Drosophila melanogaster: one gene and its partners. Changing the gene in region 4 together with the main gene of any one other region gives a genetic interaction. Each region holds a gene or a part of one and is shown on either strand. Other genes may lie near its edges. The genes, in order: Tre1, klg, NimC4 and repo.

Region 1 (7,901 bases), on a different chromosome or scaffold from region 4:
TGCGTGACCACGTCCAATAGGCTTCCGGCATGGGCTATAAATATCCATCCTCGATCATGATGGATGTGTGTTAGGAAAGTTAGTTAGTTAGCCCACCTGTCGCACCTGCTGCTCCAGGCTGCGGTTCAGCCTGGCCAACATCTCGCTGAGACCCATGCCCAGCATCATTAGGAATATGTCCATGTAACTCCAGCCGAAGGTGAGCAGCACATTCTGGATCTTGCCCAGCCAAGCCAGCCAGTTGGAGTAGGGGAACACTTCGAATAACTGGGCACTGGCGCCAAGCAAATAGGATTCCACGGGATCGCTTCTTCGTGGGCAGAAGTCGTAGTAAACCACCGAAATGATGCTCAGCAGGTGTTCCACTGGAAAAAAAAGCACGCCCGGTTATACTCAGCGAAATCCAAACCCAAACAAATTTGGTGACCCAACTCAGTGAAACTACCAGCAGCACGAAGGCCACCAACTTGAGGCGACGGGCAGGACGAGCACGTTGCAGGCAACAGGTGTAGCCCGGTAGCCGTCGCTCCACCGCCGCCCAGTGGCGCATCAATCCAGGCCAGAGTTGGGCCAGGTTCAGGAACTGCCAGGAGGCGATCAGGATGCTAACGTGAAAAACGATGGGCTCTAAATGGTAATTAACATATGCAATTGGTATGTTGCGAAGAAAAGCATCATTTAATCTCACCCACACTGCGCACATCCAGCACACTGTGGGCCACACGGCGAATGCTGAAGGCCAGATCCACCGACGTGGAGCAGAGGTACAAGGAGCTGTACCAGAATCGCCAGCTGCGCCGATTGAAGCTTAATCCCCTGTACGTTGGAGCACTGATTCCACACACGGGCATTAGGCAAAAGCACTGGGCCACCGCCAGAACTGGAGCAACTGCCTCATGGAAGGAGCCATCGTGTAGGAAGTTCTTTCGCGTTCCCCGCACCTGGCTTTCTGGATTGTAAAAGGTAATTAAGATGAACGTACTCATGGGATTCTAACGATTTGGATAGATTCACCTCGAATTTGTTCCAAACCGCTTTTAAGATTTTTCAACCACATCTTGCCCTGAACTTTCAGATGCCGAACAGCACGATTGCACCGATTTCGCCCTTTCAGCTGTCGCATTGTGTACAAGCTCTAAATCCTGACTAAACGGCAAAAATGCAGCAGGATATCATAGAAGTCCACATGTTATCAACTAATGGCCAGTGATGAGGAATAAAACAGGTCCGTGTATGATATTTGTAAGTAAATATACTTTTTATGTACATCTATTTGACGTGCATCTGGTTTTTAAGAATTTAAAATAGTGCTCTTAGTGGATAATATTAATTTAATACGTTCTGTTCAAATATTTATACATTTGGCATCACTTGTAACGAGTATTTAATTAGCGCGACCTTGAAACTGAATGGCTCCACAACATGCAAATTGGCAGCACACTCCATCAGTTATGAACTTGGCACTACTACTTGGAAAATTATATGATAAATGATTGCTTGGTCAAAAGAAACTATGTGCAGCTGTCGCTTGGCGCAAAATTGATTGCGCATAGATGAGCTGAAAAAAAGTCATCATCATAAAAATGTGGCATTAAAAACTAACTAACTAACCGCAAGTGAATAGAAGTGAGTATAGAACGAGAGTACTAAATTTCTTTTTTATTTCAAGGAATTTAATTTCTTTGCAAGCTACTTTTCTACAAATATCCTTTAAGGCGGGCTTAGAATTTCAAAAATCGATAGGCGCCTGCGCAGCGCGTCAATCGATAGAACGCCGATTTCTTAGATCAATAGAAAAGTTCGCATCGAACTTGTTGCCAGGCAGCCAACATGTTCGATCGCGCTCGGACTAAAAAACTGTAGCCCAGCCGCTCATTTCGTTTGTTGTTCTTGTTGCCGCTGTTGTTAATTGACGACAGTGAAAATACGACACTTTGCGCTCTGCGATCGGTTAGTTAAGTTGGCTTAGTTGGCCCAAGCAGCGCTTCTGTTTCGATAATTCAAAAGTCGGAATTGTGAGAAGGCCAGAATCGGCTGGTTGTATTTATTTTGTTCCGTTTATTTTTGTTACTGTGCTGCGCGGAGCGATTTAATGTCAAATCCAAAATGCAATTCGAAAGCATTTAAGAAACGCCAAACGAAGTATAAATTTATAATAAGCGGAAAACAGTGAAACGGGTTCGAGTTCGGGTGAGTTGTTGTTTTGTTATTATTTTCGTTGGTTTTTTGCGTGCGTGTGTGTGTGTGTGTGTTTCTCTTTCAAGACCAGAATCCAAATCCGGCCAAAAAAACGGCCTTACCTTTGTTAACAATTTGAGTTGCGCGTTTTTATTGTTATTGCATTTGGTCCAAACGCACACACAGAGAAGCGCAAACTGCACGCGCGCGTGTGTGTGTGTGTGTGTGTGCATTTGTAATGGAACGATAATGGAACGGCTGTTTCCACAATTCAAAATATGGCCATCCTTCTCGCTCACATCCCAAATCCCGAATTCCACCCTCTCACAAAACAAAAAAAAAAAAAATCAGCAAAGAGGGGAGAAAGAAGTGGATGGGCAAAGAGGATGCATCGGTACACCGAGAAAAACAAATCTACATTAGGCAGCCAGCCAATTAAGGATAATACCCAAATATCGCAATCTTAAATTCATTTGCTTATGCTGTTGAATCTTTTCAGATTTCAAATTGAAAATTTTTGTGAATGTGACATTCCTTGAGTCTCATCGAATTTTTAAACAAATGAGTCATTTGTTTATTTGCACAAAATGAGCCAGACTTGGGAAAAATAAATTGGAAATGGAAATGAAAGTCAGGCTTATAAAGTCTTTTGTTGTTATTTAAACAGATTGTTTGATACCGCCGCTTCCGATTTGCTTTCTCTTTCGCTCTTTCTTTCTTCCCTGTCCAAACATCAGCTGCATGAATCATCATCTTCATCCCCCATCCCCATTCGCCCCCTCCCCCCACCCTTTAACCCACCGCAACAGTTGGTAGCGACTCATTCAGCTCAAGTCTCTTAAAAACGACGAAAAGCAAAGAAAAACCCAGCTCCAAAACGATCCACAATACACATGTGCACTATCTACATATGTACATATGTATGCTCGGGCTTATTCAGTGTATATTATATATACTCGTACTATATATGTATGTATGTACATACATACCCCCCATATCGGAAACTTATTTGGTATTTAGCTTTCGATTAGTCAGCGAAATGCAACAAAAGTGGGAAATATGTATTTCTCGTGCACCGACACGATCAGAAAATAAAATAAAACGGAAGATAATATCGAGTAATTCTCAATATTAAAACAGAGGTCCTAACTCAAGAAACCCCAAATAACTGCACATTGATCTTAAATTTGATTTACTGCATAGGTATTTTCCGAAAACCCATTTAATCCCAATGTAATTAGAGTCGTTATAATACATTTTATCTATCATAATGTTTAAAAAGATGACATGAGATTATGCCGATTTAATTGATATCACGACCAACACAATCGGGGCATTCACAGCCTTATAAACGGGGCTAGATAAAAACGGGCAGATATTGATCAGAGGAACCCTTTAAGAAAATACATATGTACAAATGCGTCTAACCTTATTTGCATTCGACTTTCCGCCCGCTACATAAATACTTGATTGTAAATATTTGTTGATTGATTATTTATAAAGCTTCGTTCCGCCTTTTTTTTTGGACGGTGGGAACCCGAGGCTGATAAGACTTTGATGTAAATATGTATATATGTACATAGCGCATATCGTATTCCTTATGTGCTTAGCTGTGTGTACATATGTACATATGAATGTACATAATGAGCATACTTGTGAGGGGCGCGATCTGAGTGTTATCTCTGATATCTGTGCCATCATCATCGTTGCAAACTGTTGAGGGGCAACTGGCGGCACACTCGCGGTTAGCACTTTAGCTGAATTAATATATCTAGAGAATTATATATGCACATAGCTAATAGTTGGACCTCTTGAAATGCCCTCTGCTGTTTGGACACGCATTTATGGGTAGGGAATTAAACGAAACGGCATGGCGCATGGTGCTCATTTCGGACGGGATGCTCCGGGATGCATATTCAGATTTCCATTTCCAGTTGCGGCCCGATGCGCTCCCCCTATTCGGAAACAAAAGCCAGAAAGTAAGAACGAACTGAGTAGAACCGAGGAGACCGAAAAGAACTGAAACAACTCACATAGAGTTGGAAAACAAACACACATGTTGATCATGCATGAAAGCGGACCGCTGCTCCGCCCCCTCCCCCCCTCCCCCCTCCATTCCTTGAACTCCCCATATTTGGACGGATGATGAGGGGTTCCCAATCCTAAACCCATTTGCCGTTCCCAGAAGCATGAAACCACCACGCACCGGAAACAACGTTAAATGCGTAACAAGGCGCTTTTTAATTTAACCGATCCAAATAAAAGAATTAAATAAATGGAATTGTGTCCACATGCAAAGCAGTTGGAGGACAGCAGCGTTATCAGCATTTCGAAGCCCACGAAAACGCATGACGAACGGGCGGCTTAATTGAAATTGTCATTGATTCAATACGCAACATGCAGAGCAGCATATCATGATGGTCGGTTCGTTCTTCGTTTCACTGGGAAAAAGCGAAATTGAATCCATTTTGATTGCGTTTGTGTCGCAAGAGCAACACATTGCCTGCGCCACATCGCGTTCGCTTATCAACGGGCGAAGAAAGGAAAATGTACATTTAATTGGTCGTAAAAAAGTGCATTGTAAATGTTAAAGTCGCTGATAGCTTCGGGCCGCTTGTTCGCAATGATAACGACAGTGTAACAAATTCCAGAGGGGAGCCCCTTCCAAAATACGAGATTCCAAAAAAAAAAAAACAAAAAAAAGAAGAAGCGTTTCGAAACTCTGAAGAAAACCCAGAGAAGATAAGAGCGTACTTGACAGCATATAGCAAAACTATTGTACATTTCCAAATTTCAATTGGAATCGAAACGGGAACAGTCAATCGCTTGGGTTATCGGAATAATCGCCTCAATTGCGTGAACCTATCGACACAAAGTGCATTGGTATTGAGTCAAAGTAAGGTTTGCTTATATTAACTTTCATAGATTGCATATTTTTGCCGGCTTATTCATGGGAATAAGAAATGTTTGAGCTGAACTCGATAGCTCAACAATAACACGACTTGGCGTCAATTAAATGATAATACGTGACTAGACCATGGAAATCCAATGTATTGCTATTGGATACAATACATATACAAGTAGTTGTTGAAAAGAAAGCAGCGAAAACTGGTCAGGTAATGAGTCATCATCATCGGAGTCATCTTGGCTGATTAGCACAAAAGCCAGTTCTCATCTGTATGCAAATGGCTTAAACGCTTCTACGTACATAAGTAGTTGATGTTGTTAAACAGGAACTTAAGATGCCACCAACAACAGTTTCCACAGCAATTAAACCCAAATTTTTAATTGCGCATAACAGGCGTCTCTCATGTTCCTGTCCGCATTTGACATTGATCTCCTTCTGAATCCTGATTCGATAATATGTAATCTTGGGGCCATCAATCACGCAGTCAGCAGCGATTTGATATATGTATATATAACACCATATTATTCAAAGCCGTTTGCCTTGCTCGGTTGATGAGGAAATTGGTGAAAAACTCGAACTTTTGATAAAAAAAAAATTCGTACAAATGTGAATTCAAATGGCGTGCAAACCGGCTCGATCATTACGATTCGCCAGTTGGCCAGCTTGGCTCGGCAGAAATCTTATAACAAAATCCGTTTACATAAATCAAATGTCTCGGATGCGATAAGCTGGTGGGAGTACGCAGACTTCCTCGCTAATCCCGTCGATCGGATCGGGTTTTTACTCGGTGTCACCGACGACAAAACTGGGCTATTGCATCCGCAAAGCGGTGATTAGTTATCTTTTTGTATTACTCGTACGTTCATTCATTCACAGATTTTCCACGCGCCTGAAACTTGATTTTGCTGATTACATTTCCTTTATCGCGGAGCACAGAAATGTACACATTAGTTCGTTTAGATAGTTAAATTCTTAACAATCCCTTCTTAACAAAAGCATCATGCTTCTGGGCAATTAGGAATGGTAATTTCATTCATTTCTCTTCATAAGTTAATTGTTTTCAAATAACCAAGCGGATGCATATTGAGTTGTCTACATCCGGCTATTAACTTCCTTTTTAATTACTCATGATACGGGCTAACAAATTAAAAAAAAAAAAACAATAGGATTAGCATAAGCGATTTGAATGCAACCAATTTAAAAGATACAGCTCCTTTTCCTGTTCAAAAATAAGTAATTGAAATTGGCTAATCACATCGTTTGCTTGTTTCCCCCGCAGAATGGATCAGGACATGGGCATGGCAACGGGCTACTTTCAGGACGCAGACATGCAGATGGATGAACCGGCGGCCGCCACGCAATCGATCTACCCGCATTCGGCGACATTATTCGCGGCCATTAGTGCCTGTGTCTTTGTGACGATCGGCGTTCTTGGTGAGTAATTGGCATCCCACATTCAGCTCCTCGATTAGCTAACCTGTTTCTCTATGCTGAATTGCCGCACAGGCAACCTGATTACCCTGCTGGCGCTGCTCAAGAGCCCCACGATACGGGAGCATGCCACAACCGCCTTCGTCATTTCGCTAAGCATCTCCGACCTGCTCTTCTGCTCCTTCAGCCTGCCACTGACCGCAGTGCGATTCTTCCAGGAGGTGAGTCATTATACCTGTGAATGTAATATACAATTAGTGAATGATTATAATTTGCTCGATTCCAACGACAGAGCTGGACTTTTGGTACCACATTGTGCAAGATCTTTCCGGTGATCTTCTATGGCAATGTGGCTGTTTCACTCCTCAGCATGGTGGGCATCACCCTGAACAGGTAGGCCCAAGTCTAGTCCGCATTGTCGCAAGCTAATCCGCAACCGTCACCCTAATCCCCTGGCAGATATATACTCATCGCTTGCCACAGCCGCTACTCGCAGATATATAAGCCTAAGTTCATAACCCTGCAGCTGTTGTTCGTTTGGGCCGTCTCCTTTCTGCTGTTGGTAAGTAAGGCGTCTTCGATTTGTGTGCACACATTCAACTAATCGGTTTTTATCTTCCCAGCTGCCGCCCATATTGGGCATCTGGGGCGAGATGGGCCTGGACGAGGCCACCTTCTCCTGCACAATACTCAAGAAGGAGGGGCGATCGATCAAGAAGACGCTGTTCGTGATCGGCTTCCTGCTGCCTTGCCTGGTGATCATCGTTTCGTACTCGTGCATCTACATTACGGTGCTGCACCAGAAAAAGAAGATTCGCAACCACGATAACTTCCAGATCGCAGCGGCCAAGGGCTCCTCGTCGTCCGGCGGCGGATCCTACATGACCACCACATGCACGCGCAAGGCGCGCGAAGACAATCGACTGACCGTCATGATGGTCACCATCTTTCTGTGCTTCCTCGTCTGCTTCCTGCCGCTAATGCTGGCCAATGTGGTGGACGACGAGCGCAATACCTCGTACCCCTGGCTGCACATCATCGCCTCCGTGATGGCCTGGGCTTCCAGTGTCATTAACCCGATCATCTATGCGGCCAGCAATCGCAACTACAGGTAAGTTTGCTGGCAGTTTTGGCTGCTATCGGGTTTAGCTGCTAATAGCGAATCTATCTTCTATTTCAGAGTGGCCTACTACAAGATCTTTGCGCTGCTCAAGTTCTGGGGCGAACCGTTGTCGCCGATGCCGAGTAGAAACTATCACCAAAGCAAGAACTCCAAGGAGCTGTCGGGCGTCATCCGCAGCACGCCGCTGTTTCACGCTGTGCAGAAGAATAGTATTAACCAAATGTGCCAAACATATTCAGTATGATCGAGCTCGCAGTCGAG
Region 2 (4,612 bases), 4.7 Mb from region 4:
TTCTATTTCCATTTTCCGGGAAAAATTGTGGGATGGGCGAGGCGGAGGTTGAGGATTATGTCTTTATGTGCATATTTTGGAATTTTATAACCGTTGCGTTGCGTCGCTGACAGTTGAATGGAGGGGGGGAGGTGGGGAGCGTGGAACGCGGACAGATTCCTGTTTTTCACTTTTCAGCCAGATTTCGCCATTACTTCTAATGAAGTCAAAAGCCCCGTTGCTACAAGAGCGAAAACTGAAACAAAAGCTGAAACAAAAGCTGAAACAAAAGCAGTGACAAAGGGCCAAGGGCAAGCGGTCGCGGGGGAAAAGCGGTTGGAAAATATTCAAATTAATTTCAGGACATCTCCTGTTGGACATAAGTTCCTTTTGACCAGGTTGTTGTCGCCATATTTTGCGTGTTCGCCGCCACTGCCGACGTTTTTAATCCTGACTTATGGACTTCCGTATTCGGTTTCGTCATCAGCGTAATGCCTGCTGCTCTGTCGGTTGGGATGGTTGGTTTTCCCTTTGTTTTCCGCCGTACAAACTGCTGAATCGCTTTTTACAGTTATCCGGATGACCTGTGGGTGGTTGCTGCCCAATGCCCCTGGTGCAAATGTTGATGTTGATGTTGTTCCTGCTGTTTAGTTTTAATTACACGCGAGCCTGCCCTCGGTGGTCACGCCTCGATAACTTGATTTTCCAGCTCTAACTCATGTGAAAAGTGACAGCGTTGCGTTCACCTGGGAACTCGTCGCGTAACTTTCACTCACCGAAACTAGCAGGACATGCCGCAATTTGTCTCCCACTTCGAAATGTTGCCAAAGCAGTTCGAATGTTGCCAGCCGATTTCCAGCAACACCACGCTTCCAGCAACAAAGGCTGAAGTCAGCCCCTCGTTTCGGAGCAAAATTCGGAGTGGCATTCGTGGCGAAAAATATGATAGGGGTAGTTTTCATATGCCTCTCTCTAGGCAAAAAGCTGACGAAGAGTGACTGCTGAGCTCAAATAGCTTTAAGCGACAGGTGAACAACATGATATGACAGCATTACATGATCAATTTATTATATGTGGCTTGTGCTGAGAAGTGGCTAAAAGTTATTTAAATCGCAAAAGCAAAATATTGGATGATAAAAATGAAAAATTTGATGTAAAATGTACTTGCTGTAAAAGTTTGAATTTCAAGCTGTCATATGTCATACCTTCAAAATAAGATAATAGTTAAATCAGTTGTTTAAGTATCAGTTTCAAAAAAAAAAGAGTGTGAGTACACGAATTTAAGTAAAAAGAAAGAACAATCCAAATAAACGATATTTGTACTGTATTTTGTTATTGTCTTTTGTAAACAAAACTGTTAATTATGTTTTATGGCCAAAGCCAGGGCAGCGCAGCCTAGTGTCTAACAACTTGAGTTGGTAATGCCCATTTCGCCGTGGCACAGTTGTCCTGAGGCGAACTGGGAGAGAGCCAGCCATCTTTCGCTCTCTGAGCAGTGCCCTCTCTCATCGTCGCTCGGGTGGCCTCGTGGGCGTAGCCGAAGTGCACCGAAGCAACACGAAGTGTTGAGCCGAACCCGAATGCAGGGCGCTGAGAAACGACGGCGAACGGCCAGCAGTGTTTCAGTTGAAAGTGAACCCTTCGACGCAGTTGACACGAATCGCGCGCGACTCGTTCTAAGTGTTTTTCAGCAGGAGCAGAAATCCTGAAGCTGAAGCCAAAAGACCCAGCAGGACATCAGCTGTGCCAGCGAAAAGGATTCTAGCTGCAAGATAATAGTTATTTGTGCAGTGTGCTAACCTAAAAGCAAGCAGTTCTCAGACTGCAACTAACTAAAACAAAGCCAAGTGAATAAACTAAGCCAATAAGATATAAAAGTGAAAAACTTTAAGGATAATAAAACCGAAAACGATCGCTCGTCACATGAGTTCCAGTGCCGCTGGCGCAGGTAATAATTTGCAGCATATTAGTGAATTCTTGTGGGAGCTGTTCGCACTGAAATATTCAAATTGGCACCGAATGTCGCTTAGAATATAAACGTGTACGTGCTGCAAGGACTCGACTTGAGCCAGTGTTTACATTTTGGATTTTATGCGATAATACTCAAAGCCATCAGCGGCAGAAGTGGTAGCTTCGCTATATGGTTGGCTGTGTTATACGATGGCTAGGAGCCCAGGTGGGTGGTTGGGTGGCTTTGTGGCTCCTTTACCCCAGCCAGCTGCCAAATAAATAAAGCAACAATAACAGGGCGGGCAATAAAAGCCACCGCCAAGGGCTCAACCGCCGAACGGTCTTAGCCAAGAAGAGAGTCTGCGAAAGTAAGCAAAGTAACAAAACCAATTTTCATTGTTTTGCGGTGGCTTCCAAGTCGCACTTTCCTCTTGTTCTTTTTTTTTTTTTTTGTTTTTTGCAAGAAGCCGCCTTCAGAAACCAGAAGTATAACAAAATTTCCCTTAACACACACACACACATACACACCAAGTGGGAAAAATAAGGAAAATGTGCAAATGCCGACATGAAATGAAGTAGAACTTGGCATGTGGCGTCCTTAGTTGTATATATGTGTATGTGTGTGTGTGGGTGTGCTGGTGGGAAAATGTTTGTGAAAATGAGAAATGAAATAAACACATGCAATGGCGAAAAGCGAAAGCTTCATAAAAATCCGCTGAATTTAAATACTTAAGAGCATTCGCCGAAAGGCATTCCTGCCGACTTCTTCTCATTTGGGCAAAAGTTTTGCGTCCCTGAAAGAAGAGGTAAATACCCAGAAGCTGTGTAAATTAGGATCCAGATCCAGGCAGACTTAATCCCGGAGAAGCAAACGATAATAGGGATATCATACGATGGCGCTGTGGATGGGGCTTCGAGTTCTTCTGTGGCATAAATAAGTCGTTTGCAGCTGTTCGTCGGCATTTATTTGGCTGCCTGTTCAGGACATCACAATTGTTTCTGGCATTTGGTTAACCTGCAAGTATTCCGCATTCGAGACGTGTACACCAATTTCATATGCTAAAATGCTCGCAAAATCGAAAAAGGGAAGCCGGAATCGTAACCACACAGGCATTGGCAGCCCCAAAGGGGCGAAGACACGCGCTGCCTGCCATTTAATGCAATTGATTTGTGTTGCCTAATTCGGTTAGACGCGCTTCTACAATGCCAATTGTGCGAGCGATTCGGAGCACTGAGAGAAAATATGACAGTTAGATTTATTCAGGACCCCATCGGTAGTCTGTATCAACACAGGTTTATCAATAAGAAAAAGCACTAAATACAAATAGTCCAGGCAAACATTTTTCACAAATTTAAAAGAGATTTAAAAAGCCAGACTTTCTGGGCACTTCTCAATTTTTGGCAATTAGCAGATGAGCAAAAAACTTGTTTGAAATATACTTTATGAATGCCAGAGTAATCCGATTACAGATTTTTTCCTGTGCAGCAGCCATAACACTTGCAAGACAAGACAGCCTATCAAGCAATTTGCTCCGAAATTGCCAGTTTTAATTCCATTATGGGAGGGGGTGGGAGTTTGGTTTTGGAGAGGGGAGAAGGGGGGCAAGGCCACTTCACTTGGCTCGTGCCCACATCCAAAAACAAATCCACACCCACACCCACTTGAATGGCTCCTTTGTTTCAGCTCCTTTTTGCCAACGCACACGCACGCCCCAAAAGTTGATTGATATTCAATTGGTAGGCTTTCCCAGTGCTTGCCCGCTTTTCCGCTTTCCCACCGCCAGTTTTCCTCGATTTCCTCCTCCTTTGTTGGCCGCTTGCGGTTTGGATTTGCTGCTACACGATACGCTTTAATCTGCTCAGCAGCCAAGATGGCCAAGGCAATAGGAAAATCGGCGAACATATTGCCGGGATTGGCTTCCCTCGAAGTTCGAAGCCTCGGTCACGCCACAAGTTGTTGGCTCCCCCCCCTTTCCATCCCCTTTAGACGGGTTTTCTTTTCTCCGGCCTTAAGCGCTTTAAGTAATTTATAAACGCCTTTCGACCAGCCGAAACAAAAGCAATAACAACTTTGTTGGATTTGCTTTTCTGCCATGCACTTTGGACTTGGTCTTATTCTTACGAGCATTTCTCCAGTTCAGCATTGTCTTGCCTTTGGCAAGAAGTTGCGTTCAAGCCCAGTTTTTTATTTTTTTTTTTGTCTTGGCTTTTTCTGTGCTATGTGCTGTGTGTTGTGTGTTAATTGAATGCGATTAGGCGGCCAGAGGAGCTTTGTGCTGAGTGCTGATGGCTGTGGTTGCGGGTCGCCAATTGCAGGAGATAAATTGTAGCTAAGCTGGCTAACGAGCTCTTCCATAGTGGTTGTCAAGGTGACAACGCAGCACCACAGGCCATCTAAGCCGCCAGAGCCACCCAAAATCGTGCAAACCACCATCCACGCTATTCATTGGAAATTCAATGCGGTGGCCATATCATTTACGACATCGCCCATTAAAAGCCAGATAGCGGAGGCTTCCGAAGATTCCGTGACCACATTTTTAACATTTTAATTATGGCCCGGGCGTAACGTGATATCTCTGTGTACTCATATTCCGCGGGCCATCGAGATAAAGCTGAAAAATCAATACCAATTTCATGACAGCGATGGCGAACTTTAAGAGGAACGTATTGCTTAGAAATATTC
Region 3 (3,465 bases), on a different chromosome or scaffold from region 4:
ATACAGATACAGATACATAGCCACGCACACGCACACACACACACACACACGGAACAAGGCATCAGTTGCAATCTGACTTCAATTCAATTATTTTAGATTAGAATGTGACTGTGTCACACACACTTTTGTCTCTATGTCAGCTGTCATTCATCCGTTCATATGTTCCATAAAGTCAGGCCGCGGGGCGAAGAGTTGGAGCATTTTGCGGCACAGGATACGTGCCCTATACGCCGCCTGTTCCTGCATTGACACTCGTTCCCATATACTCACACATCCATCTATATGTACTCGTTTCTGTATATAAACACATGCACATACATATATGGGGTTTCGGGTTCACTGTGAATGTGCTCAACAAAACATTGTCCCAGAGATCCCGACTCGAAACGAGCGTGACAAAAGTAACAAATGTGCGACTGCCACCAGCCCAATGACGTCAGGCTTCCTGGGGGCCAGAATTTATTCAAGTGGCTCAAACATTTATGAGTTTCATCCTGCCAAATTGATTTGCGTTTTGTAAAAGCGCATTAAGCTCAGCCTGCCAATGAGTGACCTCTTAAACGCTTTGGGGATCATATTTCAATTGAGATAATTGCTTGACCGGGCGCTGTGGAAAGTCAAACGGAAAAGCATATTATGCAGACTGACTTTAAAATTGTATTTTAACATGGATAAACAAAGGAATAACATTTCTCCAATGTTACATTATCATTTTTGATGTTTAATAATAGACATTCGATTTTATGTTTTCCCACCGTTTCTAAAAATCAAATGGTCCAAAATTACCATACGGAAACTATTTCTGTCAATTAAATTGGAGAGAAAAATCTTGCCTGCTGGGAAAATGTACAATTTTTCGTTTCTATTAGAAGAAAACAGCTAGTTGAACAGGTAAAATTCTAAAAAAGCAGGTACCAAAAAAGGACCACTTGATAAGAGTTAAGTGGAAAAATCCTGGGAACAAATTGTTGAGACATGAAGTAATCGTAAAAAATCTGACTAATTTTTAAAGAACGCAATAGTGTAAAATGATTATTATTTTCTATTATATGTGGAGGAAGTCGTGAAGTAAAAATACATCAATGTAAACCGTTTAGTTCCGCTCTTTGTGAGTCATATCGGCAACGATTCTCAATGGAAAACAATTACATCTTTATGTTATGTTATTTTCAGCATTATCAACGTCTTTATGCGGGCAACTTATAAAGCGGGTTTTATGATAATAACTGAAAAGCTACACTCTTAGATAGTGCACTGTGATAAAGAGGGGGGAGGTTCAAAGTCAGAAAGATCAGAGATCCGGTGGTGACCTTTGGCAGCGGCTCAGATATGCTGCAACCCTCCGAGATCACAGCACTGAACGAAATTGTGACAAGTTTAATATGTTGTAAAATTAAATGTATTTAACCCTTTGATAAGCTTATCAAGATTTTAATAAGTCCAATGCCTTATTAATTATTTGAATATCAGCAAGATTCGGCTTAGCGCAACATCTCGATGAGATTGTTTTCAGTGTAGAAAGCGATTGTATCTAGCTGCGGATGTTGTTGTGTCCTATCTGGTGGCCTGCCTGCATTCTCTGCCGATCCTCCCCGCAGTCCACTGCCTGCGTGGCCAGCTTAGCTGTCGTCCGCACTTCTTGTTCTGGGAAAATTCAGTTGTGTACCGACTGCAGTTGCGAACGGACAAGTCAAACTGGAAAATGAAATTCATCTGGGCCCTGATTTTGGTGCTCGGTTCCATTGCAGCGAACGCTGAGCGTGATAATTACTGCGAAAGGAACGAGACGATACGAGCCACAGTGCCAGTGACCAAACAGCGGATCATAGTAAAGCAGCCATCCAAGTGGAAGATCTGGAAGAAGACTGAGAAGATCACAGAGATCTACGATTCAGAGGAGGAACAAGTCACCCACAGGTTGGTTAGGGAGTGCTGCCCCGGCTACTTGCAGGTGGAGTCCGGCTTGTGTGAGCCCATCTGCAGTCGGGGCTGTCCCGCCCACGCCAGTTGTGCCGCTCCAGATCGCTGTGAGTGCATTTCCGGCTACGTGTCAGCCAGAAATCACCAGGATGGCAGCCACTACTGTGAACCCATCTGCGAGACCCCATGTCCTGCGGGTGCTCAGTGCGTAACGCCCAATACATGTGCCTGTCGCGACGGGTACACCCAATTGCAGCCAACTGACGATGGTGTGAGTGGTGGATGTGCCCCAGTTTGCCGGGTGGGCGATGGCTGTGCCAATGGCAAGTGCATCGATGTGGACCGCTGTGCCTGCAACTCCGGATATCGGTGGGATAAGGCCGAAGAGAGGTGTATCGAGCTCAGTGCAGAGTCAATCTCTGAGGAACTGGAGACCACCGAGGACAATACGGATTCGCCGAGCACCAGTTCAACAGCAGTATTCACGGCCACCCACTGTCCGGATGACTTTGTCCTGTTCCGCGGCGAATGCCGCGAGAAGCAATTCGACAGCAATGATGTGGGTTGCCTTAAATCCGGCTGTGGTCCGCATCAAACATGCCTGGACTCCGGTGTATGTCAGTGCTCCGATGGCTATGTGCCGGAGGAGAGTGGCGAAGCAACTGGAGTGCTCAGCTGTCGGCGCACTTTGCTCGACCAAATTCTCGGGCTGAACGAAGCTATCGACGATGACGATGAGCTGAATCCCTGGACCATACCCATCATTGGTGTTGCCTGTGGATTCCTGTTTGTTCTGCTCATTGTGGGTCTCCTCGGTGGTAGACGATATCGCCAGGAGCGGGCTGCTTTGGCCAACAAGGAGATGGAGTGCCAGTATTCGCAGAAGACAGTGGATGTGGACGAGTGGGTGCCATGAAGGGGTCAGGTTCATCCCTTGGCGTTGGGCTGTGTTATATCAACATTGATTGTTAATTTTTAATCATTTAAATCATTCGAGAATAAAGCGTATCATAATTAAATTGCTTTTGTTTTAAATGGTAGATAATATAATGGATATATAGTATATATATTATGTAGGGGCTTTATTCCTCAGCCAAATCCAATTGTATTGCATAATAATATAAATGTTTACAATTATTCAATGGTGTTCTAATTCAATGGTGTTCTTTAACATTACAAAAAGATAGTTAGGATAGGCAATCTTTATCGTGACCAAAAATTAATGTTAGGAGCTTAAGAGGCTTAACAAATCTGACAAACTATTAGATACTCTCATAGTTCGCTTCATAACTTGTGGCTGATAAATTTAAAACGTTAAACAAACATTTTACTCATCATATCTCGCTTACGGATTGTGAGTCCCTTAGCAGCAATATGGACTCATATGCTGATTACTGGCTTATGTAAATAAAATATTCATAAACATTCGAGGCAAGAGTGCTCATGCTCAGCACATCAGCAAACAAGCCAACTTGAAAATGGCTAAAAATACTCAGACGAATGAACAGACACATTTGAAATGTTATGTTTTTACTCACAACTATG
Region 4 (5,512 bases):
TAAGTAAATATCTAAATAAGTAACTCTTAAAGATCACCGATCCCAATGAATGTATAGCTCTACCCACTTTCACCCTCTTCGATTGCAATGCCCACATGATTCGGCAGCCTTCTTCCCACTTCCCATTCAAATGCTCCGTGAAATCTTCGGATCTGTCCAAATGAGCCATAACTTAGCCCCTGACTAAGTGCCCACCTCGGCGCGATCGAAGTACCAGCATCTGGCCAAAAGGTCACACGCAACAGCGGACTGGAGGAAAGGGGAGCATGCCAATCCTTGAGAGGGTGACACGCGCTGTGGGAAGATCGAGCGATCAGGGTGTGGAAACGGGCTGAAGTGGAAGAAGAAGGTCACAAGCGTGCCACCAAGTCGCTGCCTTACAGGGGTTGCAACCTCGAATGGAACCACCCTCATGAGTCCAATTGGAACCACGACCATCGGAATTCCTCGGCTAGAAGTTAATTGTTCGTCCAACATGTGTGACGATGAAGGTGCATTGTTACGGATAGCGATGACCATGAGGTGGACGCGAAATAGATGGGCTCTCTCAACTTTGGGCGAAATTAATCTGTATCAATGGATTGCCAACAAGAAGCCGCTAAATTGGGATTGTACATACATAAGTGCATATGGAAATATAGTGGATGTTAAAAACCCCCCTTTTTAGGTTTTATCTGTGATACGATCTTTAGAACGATTAGAAAGCAGCATAGTAATTTTCATCTCTTCGCCAAAATTGAATGCTTTAATATGGCTATAACTATTCCCACTAGTTTGATAAACGGTTCTGAAATCGAAAACATTTGAAAAGATAGTATAGTATATATACCAGACATAAACTTAATCCTTCAAATCGTTCAACATTCTTCTTATTTCGGCCCCCAATCTTATAGATACCTTATCTCCATATATCGAATCATAGATCATACCATAGATTATCTTCTGTACCATACATTATTATTAATAGGTATGCGATAGTTTGTAACTGCATGGTAACAGAACACAATCAGTTCATTTATATGATATCTCCTAATATGACTATGCTTTCATGATTCTATATCCTCATTATAAATAAAACATAATTCAATAGTAGGATAACAATAAGATCAGCGTGCCATTAGAGTCCTTAAATCCGCTCTAAGAACTGAGAGCCAGTAGAGATGCAAGTCCCGGTTCCCAGGACCCCATCATCCCGTCGTGCTCTTCCGTTCCCAGAACATCTCGATCTGCTGGTAGCCGTGTGCCCGCGAAGCTGAAGACCAAAAACTGGACCCAGGCAGCTAGACCCAGTCAAAAATAAAAAAACAGAAAAAAGAAGAAAAAATCGCAAAGTAGGGGAGACCACACCCCGCTGAATGGAAAATCGTCGAATCGCTGGGCAAGCGGAAAAGTCACACACGCCAGCATGAAACGCACAGAGCGGCGTTCGCATGCGCCGTCCCGCTCGCACGGCGATAGTGGCGGCCGATGGAGCGATGCGATTGGTCGCTGCCAGCGCTGCTGCTGCGCTGCCGCCTGCGCCGGTATAAAAGGACAATCATCGCCAGTAGCCGAGTCAATTAAGGCCAAAGACTCGAGCGGTGAGCGTGCGGCTCTACTCCCATATATACATATATATATATATATATATTCAACATCCTAACCGATAGAAAAGTAGCAACAGCAGCCCAGTTATGTGCTTGCCAAATGCAATTAACAACTGATTGATTTGGAAACTCAGCAGCGATAATCGAGTTGAAAATCAACCAAATAATACACTAAATGGATTGAAAGTGTCGCAGTGGCAAAAGTGTTGTTAGCTAGTTAGTGTGTCTTGTGTGCTGTTACTGTGCGTTCCAAGGATTAAAGTCGTGGAGGAGAATGGAACACGATAGCTTCGATGATCCCATTTTCGGGGAGTTCGGCGGCGGGCCACTCAATCCACTGGGCGCCAAGCCACTGATGCCCACCACAACGGCCATGCATCCCGTGATGCTGGGCAGTGTCCACGAGTTGTGCAGCCAACAGCAGCAGCAGCAGCAGCAGCAACGATTGCCCGACTGCAACACCATACTGCCGAATGGCGGAGGAGGAGGAGCAGGATCTGGCGGCGCTGGAGGATCGCCCAACTATGTGACCAAGCTGGATTTTGTCAACAAGATGGGCTGCTACTCGCCCAGCCAGAAGTACGAGTACATTAGTGCGCCGCAAAAACTGGTGGAGCAGCAGCAGCAGCAGCAGCATCATCATCAACATCATCAGCACTACACGGCCACGCCCCCGCCCAGCCACAATGGCATCCTGCTGCACAAGCAATCCTCCCAGCAGCAACAGCAGCAGCAGCAACAGCTGGTGGGCATCCTGGACTATCATCCGCTCAATGGCAAGCTGGACTACTCCTCGTCGCCCAAAGATCAGTACGAGCCGCAGCAGCTGCAGCATCTGTACGGCGGCAGTCCGCATCATCTGGACCATTTGGATCATGGCAGTGATGGCTTGCTCCAGGACTCCTCGCCCGTCATGATCAACGGAGGATCCGCTGGTGGCAAGCTAAAGAAGCCCGATGAGATGTGTTCGCAGTTGGAGGCGGGTGGTGCTGGAGTTACTCCGCCAAGTAGTTCCTCCACGGTGGTTAATGGCACCACCAATGGCACTGGCAACGCCAACTCCTCCTCCTCCGCTGGCGTCGGCATTCAGGGGGCGGCGGGCACAGCGGGGGGCGTGGCAGCTCCTGCAGCCAAAAAGGACGGAAGCAGCAGCAAGAAGAAGGGCGATCCCAATGGCATCAAGAAGAAGAAGACGAGGTAAGCGGTCGAAGCTGCTACGCTGTCAATTAATTTAACGACGGGAAATCAATGAAATTATGTGGCACAAGATGATAGCACTTGCTATTTATGACCGTGACCACGGGGCGTATGAGTAATTTGGAGTAAGGACATTGCTAGCAACTCGCACGGAAACCCGTGCAATCTGGGGGGCTAATTATTAAATAATGAGTACCGATAGCAGATAGATAGATCCACAGAACATGGTTATCTCTATAGAATTTTCTAATATTCTAAAATATAGTTTCAGTTTAGAACTTTTTTGTAATATAAATAGATACTATGGGTTTTTTCATTTTTCCCTTTTTTTAATCCCTATTATATGACCAACTAACTGTATGAATCCCATTCAGACTTTCATCTAATCCTCTATACTTTCCATTTTTACCTTCAGAACCACCTTTACTGCCTACCAGCTGGAGGAGTTGGAGCGTGCCTTTGAACGTGCTCCGTATCCGGATGTTTTCGCCCGCGAGGAGCTGGCCATCAAGCTGAATCTGAGCGAATCCCGTGTGCAGGTGTGGTTCCAGAACCGACGGGCCAAGTGGCGCAAGCACGAGCCACCGCGCAAGACGGGCTACATCAAGACGAGCACTCCGCCGACGGCGACACTGAATCCCGGAACCCTAGCCCCACCATTCACTAGCTACCCGCAGACGACGACGGTCACGCCGCCGGGCAGCATGGACAGCTGGACCAGCTACCAGACGCCCTACGAACTGACGCCCCAGTTCAGCCTGCTCTCGCCGGCGGCCAGTCCGTATGGCACCTATTCCGGCCAGTACGGTGCCTATGTGCACGAAAGCCAGCTCTTCCCGATGCGTCACTACGAGTACGGTAGTCCCACGCGCATGGAAATGGGCGCCACAACCGGTTCGGTGGCCGGAAACGGAGATGAGTCGGTGGCCAATGGCGGCAGCTATCAGACGGCGGAACTGCAGACCGCCCAGCAGCAGCAACTGGCCGACGGCACACTGGTCACCGTCCATGCCCACCAACAGCAGCAGCAGCAGCAGCAGCAACTCAATGGCAAGTACCTGAGCGCCGAGGAGGCCAAATACGTGCACCTGCAGTGCCATCAGAGTGGAGGTGGTCTGGAGCTAAGTCCCGGCGCCAGCTGTCATCTGGTGGAGGCGCAGGGCCAGCACTATGTGACCACGGCGACGGGAGGAGCTGCATCCGCGGGCGGCACCAGCAGCGATGACAACGACAGCGGCGGCATGCAGACTGTGATCAAGAGCGAGGAGGTCTCCCAACAGCAGCAGCAGCAGCAGGGACAGAGCTACGTCCTGCCGCCTTTTTTGCACTGAGAGAAATGCTCACACACCGGCGACAGCAACAACACCAGCGACGCTGGGCCACGCCCATCAGCACGCCGAACGCCCGTTTCCGTCGGCCATTTTGAAGGGATGGAGGCGTGGCGTGTGCAGCATTTCCAACTGTGTTTCTCCGACTGAAAGTGGGGCTCCAGAAAAGCGGATTCCCAAAGATAAAGCCTCATAAGTAGTAGAATTCATCATCGGATTACTTAAAACTAGTTGCTTTCAAAAAATTTGGCGAGAGTCCACAAATTTTATATTTAATTTGATAATATTGTTTTTTTAGTTTATATTTCCAATCCCTTGGAGTTTTTCTAGCCAGTCCCACACAGTTTCTAGCCACTGTTTTCATATTGCCATAGGTTCCTTTTAGGTTTAATGACGCAAGTTGCAACAACAACGGAATCCACAAGTCTTGCCAAATCATAATGAGGTTATTATGCCTGTCTAAGTCTAGGTTAATCTAGGGCTAGGGGCTCTGCAACGAGAGCCCCGCCCCCAGAATGCATTCCAAATGTGCCTTACCAAAACGGGTGACGAGTGACCTCCCTCCAAATTGGAAAGCTTCGTTGCCCAACAAACTTAGTTTTAGTTATTCTACTCGTAGACTAAGTTCCATTTGCTGTTTTTGCTGTAGTTAGACAATAAAGTGCTTTTTATATTGTATACTAGCTCATTTGGCTTTACAAATTTTATTACTTACTAATTTTGTAAAATGGCTTGCAAATTTTGTTACAACTACATTCAATTTAGTTTAATTTCTAATTGTAAGCAATTACATAAACTAGGACACTTTGCAAATGTATATAATAGACGTATAAATAAATCGTATTTTGTACCAATAATTGATCAGCTTCCAATTCAAAAAAGGAACAACATAAAAGACTCATAAAAACAAAACTGATGGTTAATACACTTGTTTTCGAAGACAAGTATTAAAAGTAATGCATAGAAAATAATATAGCAGATTCACAACATAATTAATCGCTATGGAGCGACTTCAGATTCTTTGAAAGTAATCAAAATCAATGCCAATCAGAACTGAGCAAGGAATCACAAATGGGATTTCAGGTACAGTACGAAATAAGAAAATACTTTACGGACTCAATAGCAAAGCAAATAGTGCCTATTTTCACATGGACTCAGTTCCCTGCTCCAAAACCGCCTGCCAATCGATGCCTTTGAAGAATGGATGAGCCTGCAATTGGTCGTAGTCCAAACGTAGCTCCGGAGAAAGCTGCAGCAGTTGCTCCAGCAGATCCTTGGCATGATCGGAAATCTCCAACGACTCACTAGGATACTGAACACAACCATAGAGGTCCAGTTGCCCGGGATGCGTGACTTTGTAGGGCTGGAAAGAAAGCAGATTGCTATTATCCAAACATTTTC

Evidence for each region.
Region 1: of repo (region 4) and Tre1, changing one enhances a phenotype caused by changing the other (phenotypic enhancement), as found in Drosophila melanogaster (one study listed by BioGRID).
Region 2: of repo (region 4) and klg, changing one suppresses a phenotype caused by changing the other (phenotypic suppression), as found in Drosophila melanogaster (one study listed by BioGRID).
Region 3: of repo (region 4) and NimC4, changing one suppresses a phenotype caused by changing the other (phenotypic suppression), as found in Drosophila melanogaster (one study listed by BioGRID).

What each region holds. Positions count from the first base shown.
Region 1 is NC_004354.4:5,673,949-5,681,849, reverse strand, and holds the start of Tre1 (trapped in endoderm 1), read left to right. Parts: upstream 1-1,872; 5' UTR 1,873-2,190; intron 2,191-4,891; exon of another isoform or gene 4,892-5,074; intron 5,075-6,365; 5' UTR 6,366-6,366; coding exon 6,367-6,520; intron 6,521-6,592; coding exon 6,593-6,738; intron 6,739-6,809; coding exon 6,810-6,910; intron 6,911-6,976; coding exon 6,977-7,079; intron 7,080-7,140; coding exon 7,141-7,628; intron 7,629-7,676; coding exon 7,677-7,884; 3' UTR 7,885-7,901. Other genes in the region: Gr5a (gustatory receptor 5a), read right to left, coding at 1-34, 97-365, 433-627, 689-949, 1,015-1,123. UniProt on the Drosophila melanogaster protein: Essential for the first active step of germ cell migration: transepithelial migration of germ cells through the posterior midgut (PMG) epithelium.
Region 2 is NT_033777.3:22,897,684-22,902,295, forward strand, and holds the start of klg (klingon), read left to right. Parts: upstream 1-1,600; 5' UTR 1,601-1,927; intron 1,928-4,612.
Region 3 is NT_033779.5:14,045,929-14,049,393, forward strand, and holds NimC4 (nimrod C4), read left to right. Parts: upstream 1-1,653; 5' UTR 1,654-1,702; coding exon 1,703-2,836; 3' UTR 2,837-2,935; downstream 2,936-3,465.
Region 4 is NT_033777.3:18,234,637-18,240,148, forward strand, and holds repo (reversed polarity), read left to right. Parts: upstream 1-1,555; 5' UTR 1,556-1,860; coding exon 1,861-2,783; intron 2,784-3,198; coding exon 3,199-4,114; 3' UTR 4,115-4,966; downstream 4,967-5,512. Other genes in the region: CG7156 (uncharacterized protein), read right to left, coding at 5,256-5,474.